Linked DNA regions of Mus musculus. The protein of the gene in region 2 purifies or fractionates together with the protein of the main gene of each other region. This does not show direct contact. Links are inferred from orthologs where the notes say so. Each region holds a gene or a part of one and is shown on either strand. Other genes may lie near its edges.

Region 1 (11,691 bases), on a different chromosome or scaffold from region 2:
ACCCCTCACCTCCCTGATTTGCTGGAGGCTCCTCAGCCCTCAAACAATAAGTATTAAGAAGACGACTATAAGTTACAGAAGCAGGCAGTAAGCCTAGACACTCTGGAAATGGAGTGCCTAGCTCCTTAGGGAACACAGCTGCTTCCCAGTACACTGGGCTAAGCACACACGAAGCCTGGTAAGTCAAGCAAACCCCAAGACCAGCAGCATTTTAAAAACGCTTTTCGCCGTCCCAGGAGAACTTTCAGTCACCGAGGGCAACGAGAGGTCTTTTACAAGGTTTCCTTGTTTGTTCCCAAGGGTGGAGGTCTCAGGCTGCATCTTCAGAAAGACCTAACAAGTGAGGTTAGGGGAGGCTGGAGAGCTCGCTCAGTCGCTGAGAGCACTGCTGTCCTTCCAGAGGACCCAGGATTGATTCCAGCACCCACTTGGCAGCTCCCAACCTGGAGCTCCAGTTCCATGGACCCACCATCCTCTTCTGGTCTCCAGAGGCACTCACATGCAGGCAACACACCCACACACATCAAGTGAAATTTCCAACAAGTGAGGGAGTCTACGGAGGCGGGAGGGGAGATGTGATCAACTGAAGAGAAGCCTTACTTACACCCTTGCGTTGCTACCACAGGGCCGAATACTGCCTTCCCCAGCAATCATTAAGCCTCACACCTTTTCAATCTGGGATTAACATTAAGAGAGGAAAAACATGCTTGCTGTCCCTTGGTCCCCCACTTTGTCCACACAGATATATCTTTCTGGTACCCAGTCTAGCCGTGAGTCACATGAAAGGTGGAAGTGTTTTAGGGGTGGCTCTAGAGGTACAGTGTTCTCAGGGACGGTCCAGGGCGTGTTAGAGGGGGGCCGAGCTGTTGTGTATACTCCCTTGAGGGCTCCAGGATGCAATTCACCTATCCACAGAGAGCAGGGCCTTTTAAAAAATAAATTATTTATTTTATGTATAAGAGTACACTGTCACTGTCTTCAGATACACCAGAAGAGGACATTGGAGCACATTAGAGATGGTTGTGAGCCACTATGTGGTTGCTGGGATTTGAACTCAGGACCTCTGGAAGAGCAGTCAGTGCTCTTAACCACTGAGCCATCTCTCTAGCCTAAGCAGGGCCTTTAGAAACCTGTCCATGTTCAGGTGCCTAGACTCAATTCCCAAACAAAACAAGAAACCTCCGTTCCAAGTTCAAGCCCGCCCACCACTCCCCAACAGAGTTGGGGGGACAACACCCCAAGACCAGCACTAGCTTGAGTCTTTGACAGAGAGGGCCCGTGGGATGTCTGCCTTCATGGGACTCTGACAGACTTTGCAGGGTCTTGCAGACAGGGAGTAAAGTGGAGCTTGGGAGGCAGCGTGTGCTTGTAGTCCTTGCCGTTGTGTGGCAGGTACAGGAGTCAAGTTCAGCCAGAACTATGTAACTAGACCCTATCTCCAAAACACAAATGATGGACAAAGGGAGGAGGCGGCTGAGGACAGGAAGGAAGGAGAGAAACTCAGAGGCTTCTTGCCTCAGATCGCCCAGGCCAGCTGACAGGTGCAGGTGGTCACCACGACTCACAAGTCAGTGAGGTTTGGATCTTTCACTGTGGGACAGTGGGCAAGAACCCCAAACTGTGACCTGGACCCCACCTCCCCATCCCTGCATCTTCTGAGAACCTTCTGGCATACTTGTAAGCAGGGCAAGCCCCCTCTCCACGCCATCTCTTTCACATGGCATGGGAGACCCAGGCAAAGGTGCCTGCTGCCAGGCCCGAGAACCTGAGCTCAATCTCCAGGGCCTACACGGTGGAAGGAAGGACTGATTCCTTCAGGACCTAACCTCTATAAGCGGCAGACACATAGACAGACAGACACACACAAAATGCGGTTTAAAAACAAAGCAATGTGCTAGGACGCAACCACCCATCACCATGCAGATCGGGGCCTGAAGTCTAAGAAGTCTGTAAGTGTGTTACACATTCCTCTTGCCTCACAGACTACAACGGCATTTCAAGACGTTAGGCCTGGAGCCAGGGTAATTGTAGCTAGGGGAAAAATCATAACATTACCCAGAATATTCTTAGTGGAAGGGGCACTCAGAACACATTTAAAAGCTTAAATGGAGGCCATTTGAGAAAAGACAGATGGACAGGAATGCTTGGATTTCAAAAGTCAGGCCTTTCATTTCCCCAGAAGGCTTCTTGTTTCAGCTAACAGGGTTCAAGCAGCGCTGCTGGCAGCGGCCTCACCATAAGGATCTTATTTAAGCGAACGATCAAACACAGGATGGAAATGTGTGGAGAAAATCAGAGGACCTTGAAGTTTCAGATCCAGAAGGGGAGAGGGGAGTCAAGCTTTGTCCTTACTGCCGCTGCTCCCCTGTGAGGCTCCCATCCCCAGAGCCCTCTGGTGTCTGGGGAGTAGGGGTGGGGCCTGCAGGGTGCTCTGGAAGGGCTGAAGCCCTTGAGGGAGGAGTGCACAAGCTGTGCCCTGCCCTGCCCTGCCCTGCCCTGCCTTCCTGCACACAGTTTTCTCACTTTCAGCTTTCAGGTTTAAAAATAAAAAAAGCAGAACCAGCGGCCACTGAGACTGGTCTCAGCAGTATCTTTCCCAGGAAGCCTGAACCGAGCCCACGCACGACTGTGAGGGCTTTCACTGTGCTCATGTGCTCCCTGGCCTGCTCCATGCTTATCACCTTCAAGGAAGTCTCCTCAAGGGTTGCCCTGGTACATGTGCTGGGGACCAGTTCTGTCCTGAGCTGGGGCCTCAGCTTCACAGTGGGGCCCTGCAGTGCTACCCAGATGCCCAGCTCTCAGATCTACCATGTCACACCTGCACGGCACTTCCACACCCACCCAGAAGGCATTTCACATTCCCACTCCAGATTCTTCTTTCCACAGACAGTGCCCACACCTCCCAGCTGTCACTCTGCTTCCAAGCTCTACCCATCAGTACTCAGTCTCTCCACTAATTTCAGTCCCATGCTCAGGTGTGTCATTCCCTAACTAACCTATGGAGTAGGAGGGGCCATCACCACCACTAGTTTTCTTTCTCTTCGTTTCAAACCAAGGACAAGCTCTGTGCCACCCCATACTTGAGGTGGAGCTTCAAGGCTCCCATTGTGCTGGCCCCGCTGTGCTTCTGACCTTTCTTTTACCTTCACAGCCTCCTGGATACCTGCGAGCGAGCTTGCCTCCACCCAGGGCCGGGGACCCAGGAAGCTCCTAACCTGTGCAGACTCAACAACTCATTCTAGAGCACAGTTGTGATCTAGAAGGCCCCACTGGCTACCCACCCTGCCTCTCCCCTCTTGCTCTGTTCTCTTTAGCAATATGTTTGTAATCTCCATCACTGATGCACGTGCCTAACGTTACTAGCCGTTCGAATTCCTCACAAAACAGACTCCAGGAACAGAGCTGGGAGCAGTGCCTGCCACACAGGTAGCACTCAGGATGCTTGTGCAGGCTTTGCTGGCTGAACGATCACTACTGTTTCTATTTTGTAGACCAGAGATGACAAGGGACTGTCAAAGTCTCCATGTCCCTAGGAGGAGCAGGGCTGGTTTACAGCCCACACTGCTCTTCCTGGTCACTGTCCCTGTGTCTCCAAAACCCTCTCAAAAAGAACACTGGTAGTGTGGCCTCTAATAAGCCCAGACCCAGTGTGCTCATCCCCAGGGAAAGCCTGGAACGGTCTGGGATTCTCACACTTGGAAGTTTGAAGAGCGATGATCCCAAGTATGTTGGTCCATGTCTCTAATCCCAGCACTCAGGAGACAGGCACGAGGACTTCTGTGAGTTTGAGGTCAGCCTGGTCTACATAGGGAGTTCCAGGCCAGCAAGGGATATATTTTGAGACCATCTCAAAACAGTTCATTAAAAACATCTAAGCCAGGACCATCTCCCCGGAGCATAGATTCTTCTCAGCTCCCCTAAGGCCACCAGCCAGCTCTGAACTGGCTGTGTGCATCACAGTACAGCTGCTCATCAGCTACTGCCTGTGTTTTCCCGTGCAGGGACCAATGTCAAGTTGGCCACATGGTAATAGCAAAGGAAGGGAGAAGGGAAGGAAGGAAGGACAGACATGCCACCCTATCGGGGCAGTTGGCCCTGAAACAACACGGCTCTTCCATTGGACTGTAAGGCACCAAGGCCCTCTCTCCGAAGCTCAAGGGAGGCGCCTACACAGCCTGTTAGTGGATCAGATGGACAGCTGAGAAGAGGAGAGAGAAGGACAAACAGACGTGTGGGTGGGCTACACGTGCCCCATGCTATGAGGTGAGCCTGTGTGTGAGAGCTCACCTATAGGAGTCCCCGTCTCTGTTGTAGTCACACAAAAGGTAATCCTTGCCCACCACCTTGTCTCTGGCAATTTTCAGGGGCTGGTCAACAGATGACAGGAGATCTTCACACAGACTGGGGACCTGGCAGAAAGAGAGGACAGGGAGAAATGTCATTAAAGTAACAACTCCAATTCAGCTCCAGGTTAACATCTGGCTTGTAGTGCTCTGCCAAAATTTGGAATCTGTCTGCTCCTCTCCACATATGCCCAACCACGGCTCTCTGTAAAGGAACCTGGTCGTGCGTTGTTGTGGGACGTGATTTCCGAGGCAGCCTTCTTTCCAAACCCGGGTGTGGCTTTAATTACCTGGCCACCAGGGTGGTCTTTGAGTATGAGGGGGTGTGTGCTGGGTATTGGTCTCTGGTGGACAAAATACCAGCTCAGGCTCTGAGAAGAAGGCAAACACTTCAAATATACAGGAATGTGAAGAACTCAAAGAAGAACGGGGCTCTGGAGAACTCCGCAGACTCCCATGCTGGGTGGAGTTTCCAGCTCTTTCCAGGCCTCTGGCTAAGCGATACCAGGTTGTCCATAGGTGGCTGTATATACTACAGAGGTGGATCCAGGCTGTCCATAGGTGGTTGTATATACTATAGAGGTGGATCCAGGCTGTCCATAGGTGGTTGTATATACTACAGAGGTGGATCCAGGCTGTCCATAGGTGGCTATATATACTACAGAAGTGGATCCAGGCTGTCCATAGCCGGATGTATATACTACAGAGGTGGATCCAGGCTGTCCATAGCCGGCTGTATATACTACAGAGGTGGATCCAGGCTGTCCATAGCCGGCTGTATATACTACAGAGGTAGATGTCCATATGCTTTCTACAGCAGAGTAATCAGCTCACCTGCAGCTTTACCTGGTCTGTATAGCAGAAGGTGCCGGGAAAACAGCTTGTGGCCCAGGTGGGCTAGAACAAGTCACAATTCCCAAACCCGGGTGTGGCTTTGAGGAAGCAGGCCAGGGCTGCCTCCTCCCAACACAAACATCAGTCTCCATGAAAACATTCCAGGAAGGGATGGCAGCCCTTGCATAAGTGGATGCCTTTCTGTTCGAGTCACTTCTACACTGTTTCCACATCCTGACTTTCTCATCTCAGGGCCTGGGTTTACAGGGACCCCTGCTTCATCTTTTACCAGACAAGGGGCTGCTAACAGAGGGGGCCATGCAGCGCAGGTCCTGTGTCCCTCCCAAAAGCCAGAACTACTAGGACAACCAGGTTCTGATGCTGCATGCTACTGTCTTAGGGCACATCACAGCCTACCATACAAAGTGCCTCTTGCTCCATTGGATGGTCCAACTCTTATACATACACCGCTCCCCAAGGAGAAGCATATACCTCCAGCCAAAGCACGACATGCTTGTTTTCAGAACATGGTTCACGCGCACCTGTGCATTCACCCAACCAACAGGCAAGGTCATTTTCAAAGTTAGCTTTGGTGACATCTCTCTCTATCACCTCTAAGTGCCTGTTTGGATGTTGAACCAGGTATCACAAAGCATGCTTTTTACCTAAGTGCTCCTACCAGGGCACAAAATGGGAAGCTGTTACCTTAATTTACAGATTACAGAGTTAAGACCCAGAATCATTAAGCTGTCCAAGGGTCACACCAACAGCCAGCAGTGAATAGAGAAATCCAACCCTAGGCTAGGTGACTCCCAAACTCCTTCACCCTGTCACTCTGGTCCCTAAGGACAGCGAGCAGTAACGGTACAAAGCTCCTCCCAGCCCCCACTGCAGCTTAGTTATAGCTAGAGCCCTCCACCTGGGACACCCTAGTTGTAGAAGCAAAGTTTCACGGCTTCCATGAGGCAGCCAGGCATGAGGCACTGGCTGAATTTTATGGGCGCGGTGAAATGACCCTGGCACCTTCATGCTGCCCTTCGTGCTGTGGCCTGCCACTAAGAACCCACCTGTGCTACTGGGCTGCTGCTGGGGTCTCCTTACAGATTGTCAAGTCCTGTCTTGAGCCTCCTAGTCCTCTTTGTCTGTCCTCACTGTCTGGGTAGCAATGCTGCCCTCTTCTTCTTCTTTTTTTTCTTAAAAGATTTATTTATTTGTTATATGTAAATACACTGTCGCTGTCTTCAGAGACCCCAGAAGAGGGCATCAGATCTCATTACAGATGGTTGTGAGCCACCATGTGGTTGCTGGAATTTGAACTCAGGACCTTCAGAAGAGCAGTCAGTGCTCTTAACGCTGAGCCATTTCTCTGGCCCCGCTGCCCTTCTCTGTATCTCAATACACCTTGCTGCTTCAGACAGCGGATGCTGAAGGATGCTTGGGAAGACAGATCTCCTTTAGCAGCCAGGCTGGCAAGACGATGCGAGCTGCAAGGAAAGAGGCTCCATTCCTAGCTGGCACAGGAATGTACGTTTGTAATCCTGGCTGTTTAGGAGGCTGAGGGAGAAGAAGGATTTAAGACCATGAATTCCACATCAGTATGACCAGGCCTGGTGGCACAGTCCTAAATATTTGGGAGGCTGAAGCAGGAGGATCCTAAGTTCAAAGACTGGCTGGGTTGTACAGTGAGTTTCAAGCCTACTTGAGTAACTTAAGACCTTGTGTTATGAGAAAACAGACATCCGGGAAGATAGTTCAGTGGTAGAGTGCTTGCCTACTGCACATGAGGTCCTCAATTCAATTCTCAGTGTCTCAAGTTACCAGCAAAACGAACAAATAACACCACTACCAAACCAAAGCCCCAAGCCCAGCCTGAAGAGTCACAGTAATGACAGAAGGACAGAACCAGGCAAACTATGCCAGAGACTAGCCACCCCTAAAGAGCTAATCCCAGACTTCTGCAAGCCCACGCCTCCAAACAACCACAGAAGAACATACACTCAACTGAGCCCTTACCATGGCAGCACACAGTGGAAAACTATGGAGATCGTGCAGGACATAGGATGTGCCCGAGCACACAAGTACCTAGGATGGGTCACAGACAGCTAGTTGGCTCTGCCTGCTCAGGTCCCTAAAAGACAAGTTCTTAAGTTGGGCCATATTTTCAAGTTCTGTTTGCATCAATCCCTCTTCTGATAAAAGACAACCTAGTCTAGAATGACACTGTGCTGTCACTGGAAACAAGTACAGACTATACAGTGTGGCTATACAGTGTGGGAGCAGCTGCCCTAGGCACATGGGGTGTGCGCATGCACATGCGTGTACATTCGTGTACCATGTGTCAGTCCTGCCCCTCATCCTGTCCTCTATCCACCTTCTCAACACTGGACTACTAGCCATCTCCTCTACATGCTAGTTTGTATAAAAACCCTCCCCATTGAGAGTTGGTGCAGAAACTATAGGCTGCTGAGTTAAACTGAATTTTGAGTCACAAGGAAGACGGTTCCAGTTTGACCACCCCTCTAATGTTACACAGGATAGCTGTTTTTAGTTGTTCAATCTAACACTCTGCCATATTCCCCGAGTCTCCTTCAGACCTGTCCCTGACTCCCACTTCTCTCCAGGCATCGTGGAGTTCCACCAATGGACAGCAGAGGACCCTGATTGCTCCTGAACTGGCTGTCCTAATACCAGCAGAGACTCGGGAGACTGTGCCCAGGGAGCCATGAGGGGACCCCAGTCAAGCACCATGTCCCATCAGCTGCTGAGGGTCTCAATCTATGCTTGGGTCCCATGGGAGCAGGCATTGAGGTCTTTTGCCTGAGAGCATGCTGGAAAACAATGGCTCTGTGAGCCAGTCAGTTATCTAAATCTGCGCCTCAGCTCTTCCTGCCCCTGGCTGTGCCACACTCTCGGGGTGTCAGAATCTGCAGTGATCAATGAGCTGAATGACCAGGTCCAAACACCTGAGTCTACTCCGTGCTCCAGCACTGTGAGGAGCAGAGCCAGCATAGACTGTGTTTGGCTGCGCTCCACACTGCCTACGTGACCTACCCCCATCAGCTTTTGTGTGGAACGTCCATCTAACAGCAATGGTGCTGGCCAAACCGGGCTGCTGAGGGTTCAACTTAATTTCCAGTGACTTGGAATAGTAACGCTATACGTCTGTTGGGACAGGCCCTGCCTCCGCCCTGGGCATTCTCACCTGGGTTTGGGTTCAGTCCAAGCACAGCAAAGGCAGCTTTAATGGGAGGCAGGACAGGCACATGTCTGTAGTCCAAACTACCCAGGAGGCTGACTCAGAAGGATCATTTGACTCCACTGAGTTCAAGACCCACAGAGACAACATGGAAAAAACCAGACAACAGTGACGATAAACCATAGAAAAGACGAGTTCTGTCACCATGGGTTCCAATCTATTGCCATCACTCCTTTATCCCCAGGACAGGTTTTCACAGAGACTATTTTTTTCTTTAAGACTATATTCATTCACTCACGCACTCACTCACCCACCCACCCACTCACTCATTCATTTTTTAAGAAAGTGCCCGTGCCATAGTGCAGACACTGAGGTCAGACACCACTTGTGGGAGTTGGTTCTCTCCTTCCACTACGTGGAACCTGGGAATCAAACTCAGGTCTTCAGTCTCGGTGGCAACGCTTTTATGCACTGAGCCATCCTGGTGGCCCAGAGACCTCTACTTTAAAGAAGAGGCACACGGGGCCTGAGAAACAAGCTGACCCAAGTCACACAAGCCAGCGTCTAAGGAAGGGACAGGGACACAGTTCAGCTCGGTTGAGAGGTAAATTGCAGCACTGCTCTTGCCCAAATGGCGTGTTTTCCTACTATCTAACCCAACAGCTGATCGCATGAAAGCGGACACAAATCAGAAGCTTCCGGCCACAGGCAAGGCCGTGTGCGCTGTCATATGGTTCCACTTTGCCTCTTCCTCTTCTCCATTAGTTATTAATGTTGAAAAAAATTGTTCAACCAGAAAAAGAAACTTGAGATGAACCCTTAAAAAAAAAAAAAAGGCACAAAAGCTGGAGTGGTTCAGCTCTCCGGATAATCTAATTCCCGGCGCCCTCGCCTTTCAGAAGTGAACCTTTGGACCTTGATTTTTTTTAAAAAAATGGCCAAATGAACACATTCCATCTTTTGATCTGCCTGCTGGCTGGGAGCCCGCCACCGGAGAGATAAGGATCGAAAGCAGACCCTGTCCACTCGGGTGCACATGCACATGAGTGATGGGGAGCCCGTGGCTGGGGAGCGTCCTGGCTTGCCCCACTCCAGACGAAAGGGTTGGGTGCCAGAGACCTCGATGGCCAGCAGGGGGCTCTGCTTACAACCCGATTCTTCTGTTCTCCCAAGGCCCTGAAGTTATGCTTTTAAGAACTGAAACAATGAAAGCAGCAAGAGTGTCCTAGAGGTGCACATGCCAGCGCTGGAACACAGCACACAACGAGAAATCAGACACAGGTCCCAACTCTGCTCTGCCTCTGTCAGGCTCCTAACCTAGGAACTGGTTTGGAACCATGGAAGAGACTAGAGACAGGAAGACGCACACTAGCAGGACATCTCCAGACTGCCAGAGCAGGAAAGAAACCTGAAGACACTAGGTGAGGCTGGGGCAAGGGGGCCAGCACAAGAATGACAGGAATGGTAAGGAAAACAGGAGGGGGCACCACACAGCTCTGCAGCTAGCAGCCCTGCAAGGCACACAGCAAGACCCAGAAGGCCAAGAAAGCAAGCTGTCCCAACCCAGCTGAGCTGGGAGGACAGGGGAGGAAGGGGACTGAACAGCAGTGTCTGTGTTTACCCACTACCCACTGAGCAGGGCCTGCTCTCTGTGCCCAATCCCAGCACACATAACAGGGTGTGGTCCCAGCTCCTCCAGGCCCCACCTCAGGCCTTCACAGAACATCAGATTCCTAAGCAGAAAGACATACTATAAACCTCATTTGAATACCCTGCCCTGTAGGGTCCTTACTAATACCATTATATGTACCTGTCAAGCGTACCCTTCCCAACTTCAAAATGCTAAGTGAGCCACGAACCTGGCTTTGAGACAGCTGGCAAGATAGTCTTGCTCCTAGATGGCTGCCATAGTGGGCTAGTACTCTGGTGACTGAGGGCCCAGAGCAAATGGAGACGACATGCCCAGCACTGATGCAGAGCTCTGGACAAGCCATGGAGATCCGGCTCCTTATAACAGAAATGAATGGATCAGGACGGGCTTACGTTTTCCAAGGCTGGTAAGTTACACTCATGGTGCACCTTAGTGATTCTGGCTCGGGGAGAGGGGGTGTGGCCCCACACCCTTTTGTCTATCTTCGGGCTCCACCAGCACAGGCAATCGGGAAGCTCTGGCTCAGTTTTAGACCTTGACCATTTCATGGCCAAGGATTAGATAACTTTATCTCTACAGTCACCCAGGACAGGGTTCTCAAAAGCTCACTGCACGCACTCTGTATAAAGCAGTTTCTGTGAGTTACAGACTGTGGAGGCCCTGCCCCTCACCAAGTACAAACTGCACATGCCGAGGGCCAGGAGGGAGTGTCACAGTCACACCAGCTTTTCCCAGTTCCAAGTTCAAATCAGACCCGTTCATCAACGCCAGTGCTAAGCAGCTAGCACCTAATCACTACAAAGCAAACAGGGCCTCATGTAGCCCAGGTCCGCCTCAAACTTCCTATGTAGCCAAGGAGAACTCCGAACATGTGCACCTCGTGCTTCTTTGTCCTGAATTCTGATTATGGGCATGCAGCATAACACCCAACCCAAGACTTTATGCACACTAACCAACTAACCAGGTAAGTACTCTGACCTTCCTTTGACACATGCTCACTATATAGCCTTGGCTGTCTTGGAACTCTGTGACTAGGCTGCCTCCCAGGTGCTGTTAAAAACATGTGGCACCTCTCCTGGCAAACACTTCTTAATATGTATGGGTGTTTTGTCTTCATAAGTGTCTGTGTGCCATATATGTACAGTGCCCGCAGAGGCCAGAAGAAGGCATCAGGTTCCCTGGAACGGGAGTTACAGGCAGTTGTGAACTACCATGTGAGTCCTGAGACGAACCCAGGTCCTCTGAAAGAGCAACTAGTACTCCTAACAACTGAGCCGTCTGTCTCTTCAGCCCCACATGGACTTTAAAGGGAAGTGGGAGATGGGCAAGCCCTGGCTCCTTCAAGCATCCCAGCTCCACATTCCTCTAACAACGGCCTCCCCCAGCTGCCCAGCCCACATTCCTTGCAGCATGCAGTTCAAACATTCAGGGGAAGGAGACCGAGCATGTTATACTCTTACCAAATATTTTTACCTGTTTCCCAAACCAAGCCTGTTTATGAATCAATCTAGGCGCTCCTTGCCCAGGACAGAGTCTGCCAGCTTGGAGAGGAAAGACTTTCTGCCTCTGGTCTTTGGAGGAGGCCCCAGCTCTCTAACTCACTTTTATGTTCTTGTTTTTTTCCTTATCAATCAAAGTGTGGAATCTAAGTTAAGGGAACATTCATC
Region 2 (12,304 bases):
CGGTCCTCTCAAAGAACTCCTACACAGGGAGCAGCTAGCTGCAAGGTACAATCTTAACTGTACGACTTCCTGCTCTCACCTCACTCAGCGCCTGGCTCCACCAAGCCCCTCTGAGGACAAAGTGCTAAGCAAGAGGCTGCCACCCCCAGCTTCAGCCCTCTACCCCAAAGTAAAAAAGCAATAGTAGCCAACTTTTTTTTTTTCAACTTTTTTCTTTTTTTTTTTTTAATGCCAGGATTTTACTATGTGGCCTCAGTTGATGCTGAACTCCTAACCTTCCTGCAGCAGCCTCTTGAGGGCTTGAGGGTTGCCTGCGTGCACCACCACAAACAGCCTCTGCTTTTCTTTTGCTTGCTTGCTTGCTGTCTGAGACAGGATCTCATGCTGTGCAGACAGGCCTAGAACTGTGCTGGAGGAAGACCTTGAACTTTTTTTTTTTTTTGGTTTTTCGAAACAAGGTTTCTCTGTGTAGCTCTGGCTGTCCTGGAACTCACTCTGTAGACCAGGCTGGCCTCGAACTCAGAAATCTGCCTGCCTCTGCCTCCCGAGTGCTGGGATTAAAGGCGTGTGCCACCACGACCTTGAACTTCTGATCCTCAGAGCTCTACCTCCTGAATGCTGGCGTTCCTTCCATTCATGTACCACCAATTCCACTTTATGGAGTCCTAAGGAGCAAATCCAGGGCCTTGTGCACACCAGTCAAGCACTCTACCAACTGAGTTACAATCCTAGACCCTTGTGGTTATTTTTTGATACAATTTTGCTATATAGCCCAGCCTATCTTCAGACTTCCAATCCTGCCTCAGCTTTCCTGGTGCTGGAAATATAGGAGTATATCACTCGGTTGAGCTAACAACCAACATTATTATTATTATTATCATCATCATCATCTATATATATATATGACATATATAACTATGGGTACATGCATACCACAGTGTATATGCATAAGTCAATAGATAACTTTCAGGGCTCAGTCCACTGTAAGTTCCAGGGACTAAACTCAGGTTGTTTGTTAGGTTTGGGCAGCAAATACTTTTACCTAAGTCATCTTGCTGGCCAGTCTGGATCTGAGAGGCCTACCCTGTCTCTGGCCAAGTAGGTCATCCAACCCCAGTTCCAGGCTGAGACCTCATCTGGACACCATACATGTCCTTGGCCACACAGACCAACCCAGAGGAAGAACTGGGCAAAACAGTGATCCCAGGTGGACCTTGCGGGGCCAGCACTTCACCGGCCAGCACTTCACGGGGCCCTTTTGACAGGGCAAATAACCTAGCTGCCCAAGCCTCCACGTGCAAAGCTACCAGCCTCACCACCTCTGCAGGCCTTGGCTTCCTTCCCTGCCTGCCCAGAACCCAGATGGGAAACAGTGTTGAAAGCCAGCAGCTTTAGGCTGGGGAAGTTGGGGAAGAAGGCCAAATGCTGTCAGATTTTTTTTTTTTTCTTTTTTTCTTTTTTGAGACAGGGTTTCTCTGTATAGCCCTGGCTGTCCTGGAACTCACTCTGTAGACCAGGCTGGCCTCAAACTCAGAAATCCGCCTGCCTCTGCCTCCCGAGTGCTGGGATGTTGTTCATATTTGTAAAGTTTTTACTTTCTTATGTTATGAGTATTTTGCCTAGAGCTACATATGTGTATCATGTGTGTGTCTGGTACCCAGGGAGCTCAGAAGGTGGCATTGGATCCCCTAGAAATGATGTTACAGACAGTTGTGAAGCACCAGGTCAATCCTGGAACCCGAATGTGGGTCTTCTCCAAGAGCAGCAAATGCTCATAACCCCTGAGCCATCTCTCCAGCCTTTTGTTCACATTTTACAGCCAGAATGTTTGGGACAGGTGAGATAGCTCAGAGGGTAAAGATGCTTATCAGCAAGCTGGAGGATGTGAGCTCAATGCCAAAGAGCCACATGGTCAAAGCTGTTCTCTGATCCTCTCTCTCTCTCTAAGTTTAAAAATAAACCAGAATTTTATTTTATTTTTTGGTATCATGTAGCCCAGGCTGGCTCCTGACTTACTATACAGCCAAGAATGACCTTGAACCATCTGATTCTTCCACCTGTACCTCCCAAGGCTTCATTTTTATATTTGGATACAAGTTTCTATAGTCTTGGCTGGCTTCCTCCTGTCTCAACCCTCTCCAATGCTGGGATTATAGGCCTATACCATCATGCCAAGCTATAATAGGAATCTTACATAAGGAGTGTTTCTTGGGGCTGGAGAGATGGCTCAACTGAAAGCACTTGTTGATCTCCCAGAGGACCTGGGTTTGGTCCCCAGAACCTGTGTCAGGCAGCTCACAACTGCCTGTGACTCCAGTACCAATAATGTCCTCTCTCGGCCTCCGTAAGTCCTACATACACAAGCACGTACCCCCACACAGACACAGATGACACACACATAGTTTTCTGTTGTGGTGGTTGTCTAAAAGCAAATTTATAATTTAATTTCTTTAGAAAAATCAGGAGTGCCGGGCATGGTGGCACACACCTTTAATCCCAGCACTCGGGAGGCAGAGGCAAGTAGATTTCTGAGTTCGAGGCCAGCCTGGTCTACAGAGTGAGTTCCAGGACAACCAGGGCTATACAGAGAAACCCTGTCTTGAAAAACAAAACAAAAGAAAACAAAACAAAAAACGAAACAAAACAAAACAAAAATCAGGAGCTCCACCCACATTCATCTAGACCATAGGCCCCTACCCCAGGCATTCCTGGGTTCCCCAACGCTTGGAATGCAGTACTAGAGTGAGTCTACTTAGAGATCCCTTACGCTTCTGGGAACCACCTACGAGGGGTACCTTTCCTGGGAGGTTAACGGGCAGGGCTGAAATGGGAGGCCAATGAGCTCAACTGTCTCTTTAAGGGTGGGGAGTCCCAGGAGACCTCTATTTATCACCTCCCATAATGACCCCTACCCAGCCTCTGAGGACATCTGGATTTGAGGAGCCTGGACAAGGCCCAGCTTAGCTGTGGCCTGAAAGCCTGTGGTGGATTCTGAGTCTGGCAGGGCCTGCTAAGTAAACATATCACTAGGCTCATTCAGGGAGTCCAGTGCCAAAGGGCTCGTGACAGCGTGACTACTGAGAAGGCTGAAGGACCCTTGGAGGGTCTGGCCCACACCTACTCCCAGACTCTGTACCACTCCCTGCTGAGGCCGTCACTGGCAGAGGGGAGAGGGACCCCTTGTCTTCCCATCATTCAGCCTCAGACGGATCCCCTGCCTCCTTGAATAGTTCTACTTCAAGCCCTGGCTCAAGCCCCACACCCTCAGACTACCTGGTAAGAACGCAGGGGCAGCTCAAGGCCCTGTCAAGCATGGTGTCACTCTAGCCTGCTCTGAGAATGAGCAAGACATAGCTTTTTCTTCCCATTCTGGGGACATCTACTATGGGAAGGTCCATGGTATCTCAGTCCTCCTACAGCCAGCAGCCAAGCCAGGTCCAGCCAGGCCCAATCTGCTGACCACACACACACAACATATACACATACAACACACACACACTCACCTCATACCACATGCATACCCACCACGCACACACACCACATACATACACTCACCACACACACATATACCACACACATACAAAACTCACCACACACCACATATACACACTCACCACACACATACTCACCTCCCCACACACCACACACATACAACACACATACCACATACACACACTCACCACATATACCACACACATACAAAACTCACTACACACCACATATACACACTCACCATACACACATACTCACCTCCCCACACACCACACACATACAACACACACACCACATACACACACACATACACACCACACACACATACCACACACATACATCATACTCACCACACACCACATATACACATACCAAACACACATACCTCCCCACACACCACACACATACATGACACACATACCACACCATACACACACATACCACACATATACAACACACTCACCACACACCACATATACACATACTCACCACACACACTCACCTCCCCATACACCACACACATACATGACACACATACCACACCACATACACACACACTCACCACACACATAGAACACACACACCACATACACATACCACCCACCCCCCAGACACAAAACATACATATAGTAGGGCTCACTGGACCCTTACCACATATCTAGCCCGATACTCTGACAAGGCTCATCTCAAACGCCACACAGCCTCAGGCTGAGGTTAGACAGAACTGCAGGAAGGACTCTGTACAACAGGGTGCCCTCTACCCCCACTGCAGGACCCCAATGAGACCTCTCTGTGAAAGGCCTCATTACATTCTCAGATGCAGAGACTGAGGTCTGGGAGGGGCTGAAAGGAAGCTGATACCCAGCTCTCCTATCCCCAGAAGTGACTGGGTTCGGCCTCCATTCCATGCCCCAGCCCGTGGGGGACACTCACCGTCCTCAATGATGACTTTGATAAGTCGGATGGAGCCAGCCCGGGCCTTGGCAAAGAATTCCTTTAGCTCTTCAGTGGCTATAAGCACAAGAAACATAGTTGTTGTTGGTGAGCAAGCAGGCAGAGTGGGCAGGGAAGAGTTTGGGTCTGCTGGTGTCCTGTGGGGTCTGGTGGTAGCCAGGCTGGGAAGTGGGTTAAATATGGTTTCCCCATGTGACTGGAACCTGAGATGGCCACTGAACATAAGCTCCCAAATTTAGCTAGCAGGAGTGGCAGGCGGTGGCCTGCTGGCCGGGATAGCTCTGATGACAGGAAGGACAGCCCACTTGAAGATGGACCAGTTTCTAAGACAAGACAAGCTTGCCAGAATGAAGGGCACTCACTTGTCCCTGGACACTAGGATGATCTAGCAGTGACTCAACACCCACTCAGCTGGTCAATCTAAGTGGACTGAGTCTCATCTAGAGAGTCAAACAAAGACACACATACACACCCACACATACAAGCATGCACAAGTGTATACACACACACACACATGCACAGATACAATCCTGGATTGCCAACACAAATACAGGCAGCAGACATAGCTGCAAAGTATGACTACACCATGTGTACAGGCAAGATAAACAAAATATAGAGACATAAATTTGCACGTCACATGAATGTACTCGTAGTTCAAGCCCCCAGTCAGTCTGTACCAAAACAGGGGCTACCAGCCCCAACACAGCCCTATCAAGAGGCAAGACCGCCTCAGACCTCAGGCAGTAAGGAAGGCTACCAGGAGGAGGAGTGGTGCTGAGGAAGAAGCCTCCATCTTGGAATTTGGGCATCAGAGATGGAAGGTGACTAATGACCAAGGACACGGTGCCAAGGTGAGGACCATGGCCACAGCTCGAGGACCATGAGTCATCTCAGCTCTCCTAATGGTGATAGAGAGGGAAGACACAGTCCAAGTGTGTAAGGGACCTGCTTGGAGCCTCTGGGTGAGTGTGACCTTGGGGCTGCCAGGGGTCAGAAGAACCCCGGCAAAAACACAGTTGGAGAATTGAGATCACAGGGTATTTATAGGGCTTGGATTGGGCAGCTGATGGGCAGCTTAGGGGCGGGGTGGAGGGGCTTTAGGTAAACAAACTCTTAGTCTGTCCTCAGGTGCTCCCCGCTCCCTGCAGAGTGACCTTATGCTTGAACCTTAGGCACGAAGGTCACTGTGTGGCCAGGGGCCTAGCAGCTTAACAATTCCTTGGGGACAGAAGCATGGCTTGGTACCGTACACAAGGGGACGTAGCCCCACTGGGTATGCACAAATGATTTTTTTGTTTTGTTTTGGTTTTTTTTTTTATTTTTTTGAGACAGGGTTTCTCTGTGTAGCCCTGGCTGTCCTGGAACACACTCTGTAGTCCAGGCTGGCCTTGAACTCAGAAATCCGCCTGCCTCTGCCTCCCGAGTGCTGGGATCAAAGGCATGCACCACCACTGCTCGGCATGCACAACTGATTAACTCTATGAGTAGAAGCCTGAAGCTTTAAGCCTGATCTTTGGGGCCCCAGCTCCCCTTAGCTGTGTGACCCCTGACCTCTCTGAACCTGAACCTCATCTATAAAACACAGCTAATTCCCTCAAACTCAGAGGCCTGTGGTGTGTGGGAGAAAGAGCTGAGGAACTGGACTTTGCTGACATTTTTAAAAAAATCTTAAGGGAGCTGTGTTTTACTGATCCTCCTACCTGCCTAGACCTTGAGAGAGAGAGAGAGAGAGAGAGAGAGAGAGAGAGAGAGAGAGAGAGAGGCTAAGAAGCTCCCCAGAGGAAGAGGCAGACAAGCCCCTTCTACTGTTACCAGGGCATACTGAAAAGCCAGCAGGGAAAGTGACATCTCTTCCTACCCCACCCCAATGTCTCCCCAGTCACCATCAATAATCTAGAGGCCAGGCCTGGGACATCTGAGCCTCCTTCATCAAAGATTCATGCCTCCCCGCCCCCACCTTGCCCACCTCCAACTCTAGCAAGCCTCAGGTTACTGTCCCTCTTGGGCCCCACTCTGAGGTCAGCAGGCCTACACCTATGGCCTGGCCAAGGCTGGCACCTGATCCTCCATGGTGGTCTTTCTTGCCACTTCCAGCAGGCACAAAAGAAGGTGCACATCCTCATAGGCAGGAGACTGGGAGGCTCCCCTGGGCAGGCCTGTCTCACTTCATAGGGAATGAAGGGATAGGGCAGAGCCTTGGCCACAGGATCTGTAAGCAGTGTGTGTGTGTGTGTGTGTGTGTGTGTGTAAAACTTCGTAGCACCTCCTCCCTCTTGGAGATAGCAGCTCAGACCAGACAAAGAGGAAGGAAGGGGCAGGCCAGGCAGCAGTTTACCCTGACAGTTCCCCTCTTTGGGGCTGACTCAAGAAACCTGCTCCTCCATCTCTAGGAGAGGCTGGCCCACCTGTGGGTGGCCAGGCTTGATCCAGGTCCCTGCATGCTCAGGACAAACAGGATGGGGATGGGCTAGGGCAGGGAAAGTCTCTTGGCTTGTCCATCCACCAAGCAGCCACAACCGCAGGCAGGGATTCCGGCAGTCAGGCTGGTCGATGGTGGTAGCCCTGGTCAGGGAATCATGATGTGGTGGTAGGAGTGGCTGATGGCCAAACCAACAAGCTGTCTGGGCAAGCAGCCTGGCCTTCCCTACTGGCCAGGGAAGCAGCCCTTCCAGGCCCATAACAAATGGGGACAAAATACCTGGCTCCCAGCTATTGCTTCTTTCTTAAGTCTCTCCAAGGAGGAAACTGGGGCCCTGGAGGGGGGCTATGGGTGTCACGCCCTGGGCTGTAGAAGCTTCCTGTAGATGAGGGTGGAGGCAGGAGCTCCCCTATAAAGTCTGAATCCTGACCCGTTCCCCTGCTTCCAGCTTGAAGTTGGGACTTTGCAGGCCTGGCTGGAGCAGCGATAGAGAGATCACAATGGAAAAGGGAAGAAGTCAGAGGCCAAGGTCAGATGTGCAGTTCTCCCCATTCTACTTAAGAAGGAGGGCTCCATTCCAGCTTCTGTCCAACCTAGTCTGCAAGAGTCTAGGGGTCCTGAAAGGAGAAAAGGTCAGGCTACCCTCTCCACACATACACATAAGCCCATGTCAGTCATAAGACACCCATGCAAACACCCATGCTAACACACACATACTGAGATGTGCCTGAACTGTGCACACATGCAGATACCCACAGTTTCTGTGCGTGCAGCCAGGAAACACTGATGTCTGAGATGGAACCTAGAGTGTCCAAAACCAGCCACTAGTGCATGCACACGAAGAAGCCTGGACAGGCATAACCAAGTCTCATCCAGATGTGCACATACTGGACTGTATACAGAGAACATGTGTACACCCATGTACACTTTTCCAGATGTGCACATCCGGGTACACCCCACCTCCAGAAAAGAACAAAAATACCCAGACCAGTATACACAGGCACATCCGCCCCCAGTTGGGTACACAAGATACTTCCACCCTCGCTGTGTGCATCCATGTGCACCCACTCCCAGCTATGTACAACAGTCTGTTCTGCCCCAAGACGTGTCCATCCCAGGGACTCGCGGTTGCAAAAGAGAACAGGAAGCTTCCCAGGAGGGTACAAGGAAGAGAAGGATGAAGGGACCTAGCGCGGAGAACCAGCGCGGCGGAGCCCCTGTCCGCCCTCCATCCGCCCTCACCGTGGATGCCGGTCTGGTGCGCCATGGCTCAGCTTTCGGCTCGCCCGTGCCGTCGGAGTTCTCCTCTTGGTCCTGGCCCGGCTCGACTCGGCTCGCCTGGACCCAGAGCTCCGGAGGATGTGGCGACGGCACCGAGCCTCGCGCAGCTTCCCGGGCGGTGCCGCAGGACCCGCCCCCAGCGCGCCCCGCCCCCGGAGGGCGAGGCCGGCAGAGGCGGGCATTGGTGCCGCGCGTGCGCGCAGCGGGCGCCGGGGTCCGGATGGCCCAGTGCCCGGCCGCTACCACCTTCATGGCCAAGAAGGGGCCCCAAGGGATTGTGTGGGTGGTCCCTTGTAGGCCAGGATCCTGGAGGTCTGTGGGCGGATCCGCACTTGGGCGTGGGAGGGGCTGTGAGCTTGCCGCGGAGGAGGTTTGAGAGTGAGGGCCGATCCAGGCGTACCCGTTTGTGATGGTGAGGTGATCTCAGTGTAGGTGGGCACGCGCTCGTGTGTGGTCGTGAGTGTGAGTGTGTGTGTGTGTATGTGTGTGTGTGTGTGTGTGTGTGTGTGTGTGTGTGTGTGTGTGTGTGTGTGTGTGTGTGTGTGTGTACTGATTTCCTACCAGTCATCAGGTGCACGGTGTCTGGAGCCCAACGCTGAGAAAGTGAATGGCCATAGGAGGAAATGAATTTTGGAAGGAATACGGTAGGAGAGACCGAGGTGACCTAACAAGGCTGAGGAAAGTTTTCCAAAAAGACGGTGCATGTGCTAAGTGTGACCCAGTGGTGGAAGGACTGGAAGTCAACCTGAGGAACTTCCCAATTCCTAATGACCTTGCCTCTATTCCCAGCAGCCTTTCCTACTGCTCTTACAGACTAACGGCCGAATAGCAGCTAGTACTCTTTAACCTCAGAAACATCTCTCCACCCTGGACCTTGTTATTAAAAAATAGATAAACGGGACTGGACAGATGGCTCAGTGGTCAAGAGCATTAGCTGCTTTTGCATAGGACTCAAGTTTGGTTCCCAGCACCCACATGACACAACTGTTCCTTCTTCTGGCCTCCTGGGATTAGACACGGACATTGTGCACATAGATACATGCGGGCCAAACACCCAGACACACACCAAAATTTTTTTTTTACTGAAATAAATAAAAACTTTAAAAAATAGATAACTTAATGAGAGATGGCTCAGTCAGTAAAGTGCTGAGTTAGCATATAATTTCAGATTCCCGGCAACAGAATGAAGACACTTGGCTTTCCCCTTGGACTGTGCAGGGAGGCTGGGGACCTTGGGAGAGGGAGTTTGAGGAGACAGGCCAATACCTATTGGGGCTTATTTGCTTATTAGTCAGCCAACCCAGCCAAATGGAGAGAGAGAGAGAGAGAGAGAGAGAGAGAGAGAGAGAGAGAGAGAGAGAGAGAGAGAGAGAGAGAGAGAGAGAGAAAGCGCAATAGAGGCTGACTGGCTGGCATCCACCTCTGGTTTCCACATTGTACTCTAACATACACAGTGTATGTATATACTACACACACACACCCCAAATCTGTGAGAGAACTCAAGTTCAAATGGCATCCTTGGGCTGGCTCAGCTGATAGATCATTCTAACCTGCGTGACATGTGTGAAGTACTAGGTTTGATCCTTAGCACTACATAAATCAGGTATGTTGGCAAATAACTATAATCCAGAACTAAGGAAGCAAAGGCCTTCAAGGCCATCCTGGTCTACATGGTTAGATTTTTGTCTCATAAGTAAATAGGAAGGAAGAAAGAAAGAAAGAAAGGGGGGGGTGTTTCAGGATTAGCCTGGGCTAAGGAAGGAAGGAAGAAAGAAAGAAAGAAGGAAGGGAGAGAGAGAGAGAGAGAGAGAGAGAGAGAGAGAGAGAGAGAGAGAGAGAGAGAGAGGGAGGTGGGGGTTTCAGGATTAGCCTGGGCTACATAGTGAGTTCCTGGCCAGCCTGGACTACATGGGACTTTGTCAACAAATGAAGAGGTTAAAAAAAGGGGGCTGTCAAGATGGCTCAGTGGTTAAGAGCACCGACTGCTCTTCTGAAGGTCCTGAGTTCAAATCCCAGCAACCACATGGTGGCTCACAACCATCTGTAATGAGATCTGATGCCCTCTTCTGGAATATCTGAAGACAGCTACAGTGTACATACATATAATTTATAAATAAATAAATAAATAAATAAACAAATAAATAAATAAATAAATCTTTTAAAAAAAAAAGAGGTTTAAAAAAAAAGGTGGTGAGGTAGAAAACTGGATAAAGGAAACAGGCCACCCACAAAGATGGATGCTGTCCCACAAGTCGATGAGGAGCTGCTTGCCTGGTCCGTACTCATTAAATACATGAAAACTGAGCTGTATCTGGAATCTTACTTACTGTAGGCAAACATTTTAAAACTTTGACAAGAATTGTGATTGTCAAGGCTGGGTAAATAGGCAATGCAAGCTTATGTAAAACAGTGTGGTGATGGTCTTGATTGTAAAATTAATTATCCAGGTGTGGAACCTTTGAGCTTGTCTGTGAGGGCATTTCCCCAAAAAGTTTAAGAAGGAGGGAAGACCAGGCCTGAATGTGAGCAGCACCCGCTGTGGGCTGGGGTCTGAACACACCTCTTCCTGGTGGCAGACTCTCATGACCAGCTGCCTAGCATCCCCGATTCTCTTGCTGCTGCTGTGATGGAGGAAGCTACTCCTTCTGTAGTTGCTTTTTGCAGATACTTTGTTATAGCAAGAACTAAAGTAACTAAGGAAGATTTATCATATGTATCCTTCTCCTCCTTAGTTGGAAGCAGGGGTTGGGAGTGGGGAGTGTCTCAGACCTTGTCCCCATTCACAGCTGGGCCAGGCACTATCAGAACTACTATTACATCCGGGCTCAGCAGTCCCTCTGTTAACACTGTCCTCCTACTCCCAGTGTGTGGCTGTTACTGGGTGGGCTCAGTAGGGTAGCCCCTACCCCAGTTACTGGGGTGCAGCTGTTTCCCAAGAGCCTTCCTCTTTGGGCAGGAGGAACTGCTGGCAAAACAGGGCTAACTGACTAAAGGAAGAGAGGCCTAGTGAGTACTAGGCTGGGCTTAGGAGCAGAGTCAACGGTAGGGAACCCCTCATCCATCCATCCTTAGGCCTTAGAGACTTTAAATTGGTTTCCTGGAGGAAAAAAGAGGAAGCGAAATGGCTTGAGGGGTGGTCTGACTCAACTACACTGTCATACTGGGAACCCTGGGCGTCTAACACTTCCCCTCTGTGGGTCTGAGTCCTCCCTTATGAAGTGGAAATTGAGGCCTTGCAGAGGGGCACCTAGACTTAGGCGACAGAAAGTGACAGGCGCTCTCCCCCAATAGTTATAGCTATCTAGGGGTAAAGGGACATCCTGAGCCAGAGCGATGACATGGTGAGCGCCTTCTCAAAACAAAAGAGGTTGGTGAAAATTTCCACTTCCCTCAGTCCAAGGCTGCACCTTAGACCAGCAGGAGAAAGGAGCTACACTCCCTCTTAAATTCCCATAGGTTCCTCTTGTCCGTCACTCACACTCCAGGGAGGCACTTGCGCAGGCGAGAAGCCATCTTAACTGTAGGGGCAGACATTTGGGAGCGGGCTTCTGAAGATGAGGTCGAGGGTGAATAGAACTCTGGAGCACTCTGAGCCCGCTCTTACACCTCCAAGGACATACTGTCCCCGTCCTCCCCTTGCGGAAGACCGTCGCTAGCAGGGCAAGGCTCTGTTGTAAGCGCCTGCCCAGCACCCATCCTGGATGACTCTCCACGGTTCCTAGAGTAGAGGGGAAGGGCTTCCACTCTCAGAGGATCGAGTCCCACAGGTGCGGGTGAGCCTTTGTGCCTTTTCAGTGGTACTCTGACGCAAGCAGGCGTCTTCACTTCGCTAGGCCTCGGTTATCCTGCCTGTAAAGTGGGATATGTGACCACATCTCCTTCTTACAGAAGGCCAAAGAAACTGGCCGCACACACAGGGGCCGATGGGCGGGATGGGGCGTGGCCTCTTTCACCCCCAGGCCCCACCCCCAGGCTCGCTTCCTCCCAGTGGCGGGCGGGCGGGCGGGACCCTGGTGTCCCGCCGTGCGCGGGCAGCCCCCGGCCGCCACGCAATGTCCGCCGGCTGGTTCCGGCGCCGCTTCCTACCCGGGGGTCCACTTCCAGAGCCGCGGCCAGCCGGGCCGCGCTCCAGCCCGGTGCCCTATCACCGGCCCCGCT

Evidence for each region.
Region 1: the proteins of Twf2 (region 2) and Capzb purify together in Homo sapiens (co-immunoprecipitation; 3 studies listed by BioGRID and IntAct, with this or other methods). This does not show direct contact. The link is inferred for Mus musculus from reciprocal best matches to the Homo sapiens genes TWF2 and CAPZB.

The regions. Positions count from the first base shown.
Region 1 is NC_000070.6:139,249,979-139,261,669, reverse strand, and holds part of Capzb (F-actin-capping protein subunit beta), read right to left. Parts: intron 4,410-11,691; coding exon 4,288-4,409; intron 1-4,287. UniProt on the Homo sapiens protein: F-actin-capping proteins bind in a Ca(2+)-independent manner to the fast growing ends of actin filaments (barbed end) thereby blocking the exchange of subunits at these ends.
Region 2 is NC_000075.6:106,199,088-106,211,391, reverse strand, and holds the start of Twf2 (twinfilin-2), read right to left. Parts: upstream 8,285-12,304; 5' UTR 8,133-8,284; coding exon 8,108-8,132; intron 4,504-8,107; coding exon 4,426-4,503; intron 1-4,425. Other genes in the region: Ppm1m (protein phosphatase 1M), read left to right, coding at 12,199-12,304. UniProt on the Homo sapiens protein: Actin-binding protein involved in motile and morphological processes. Inhibits actin polymerization, likely by sequestering G-actin. By capping the barbed ends of filaments, it also regulates motility.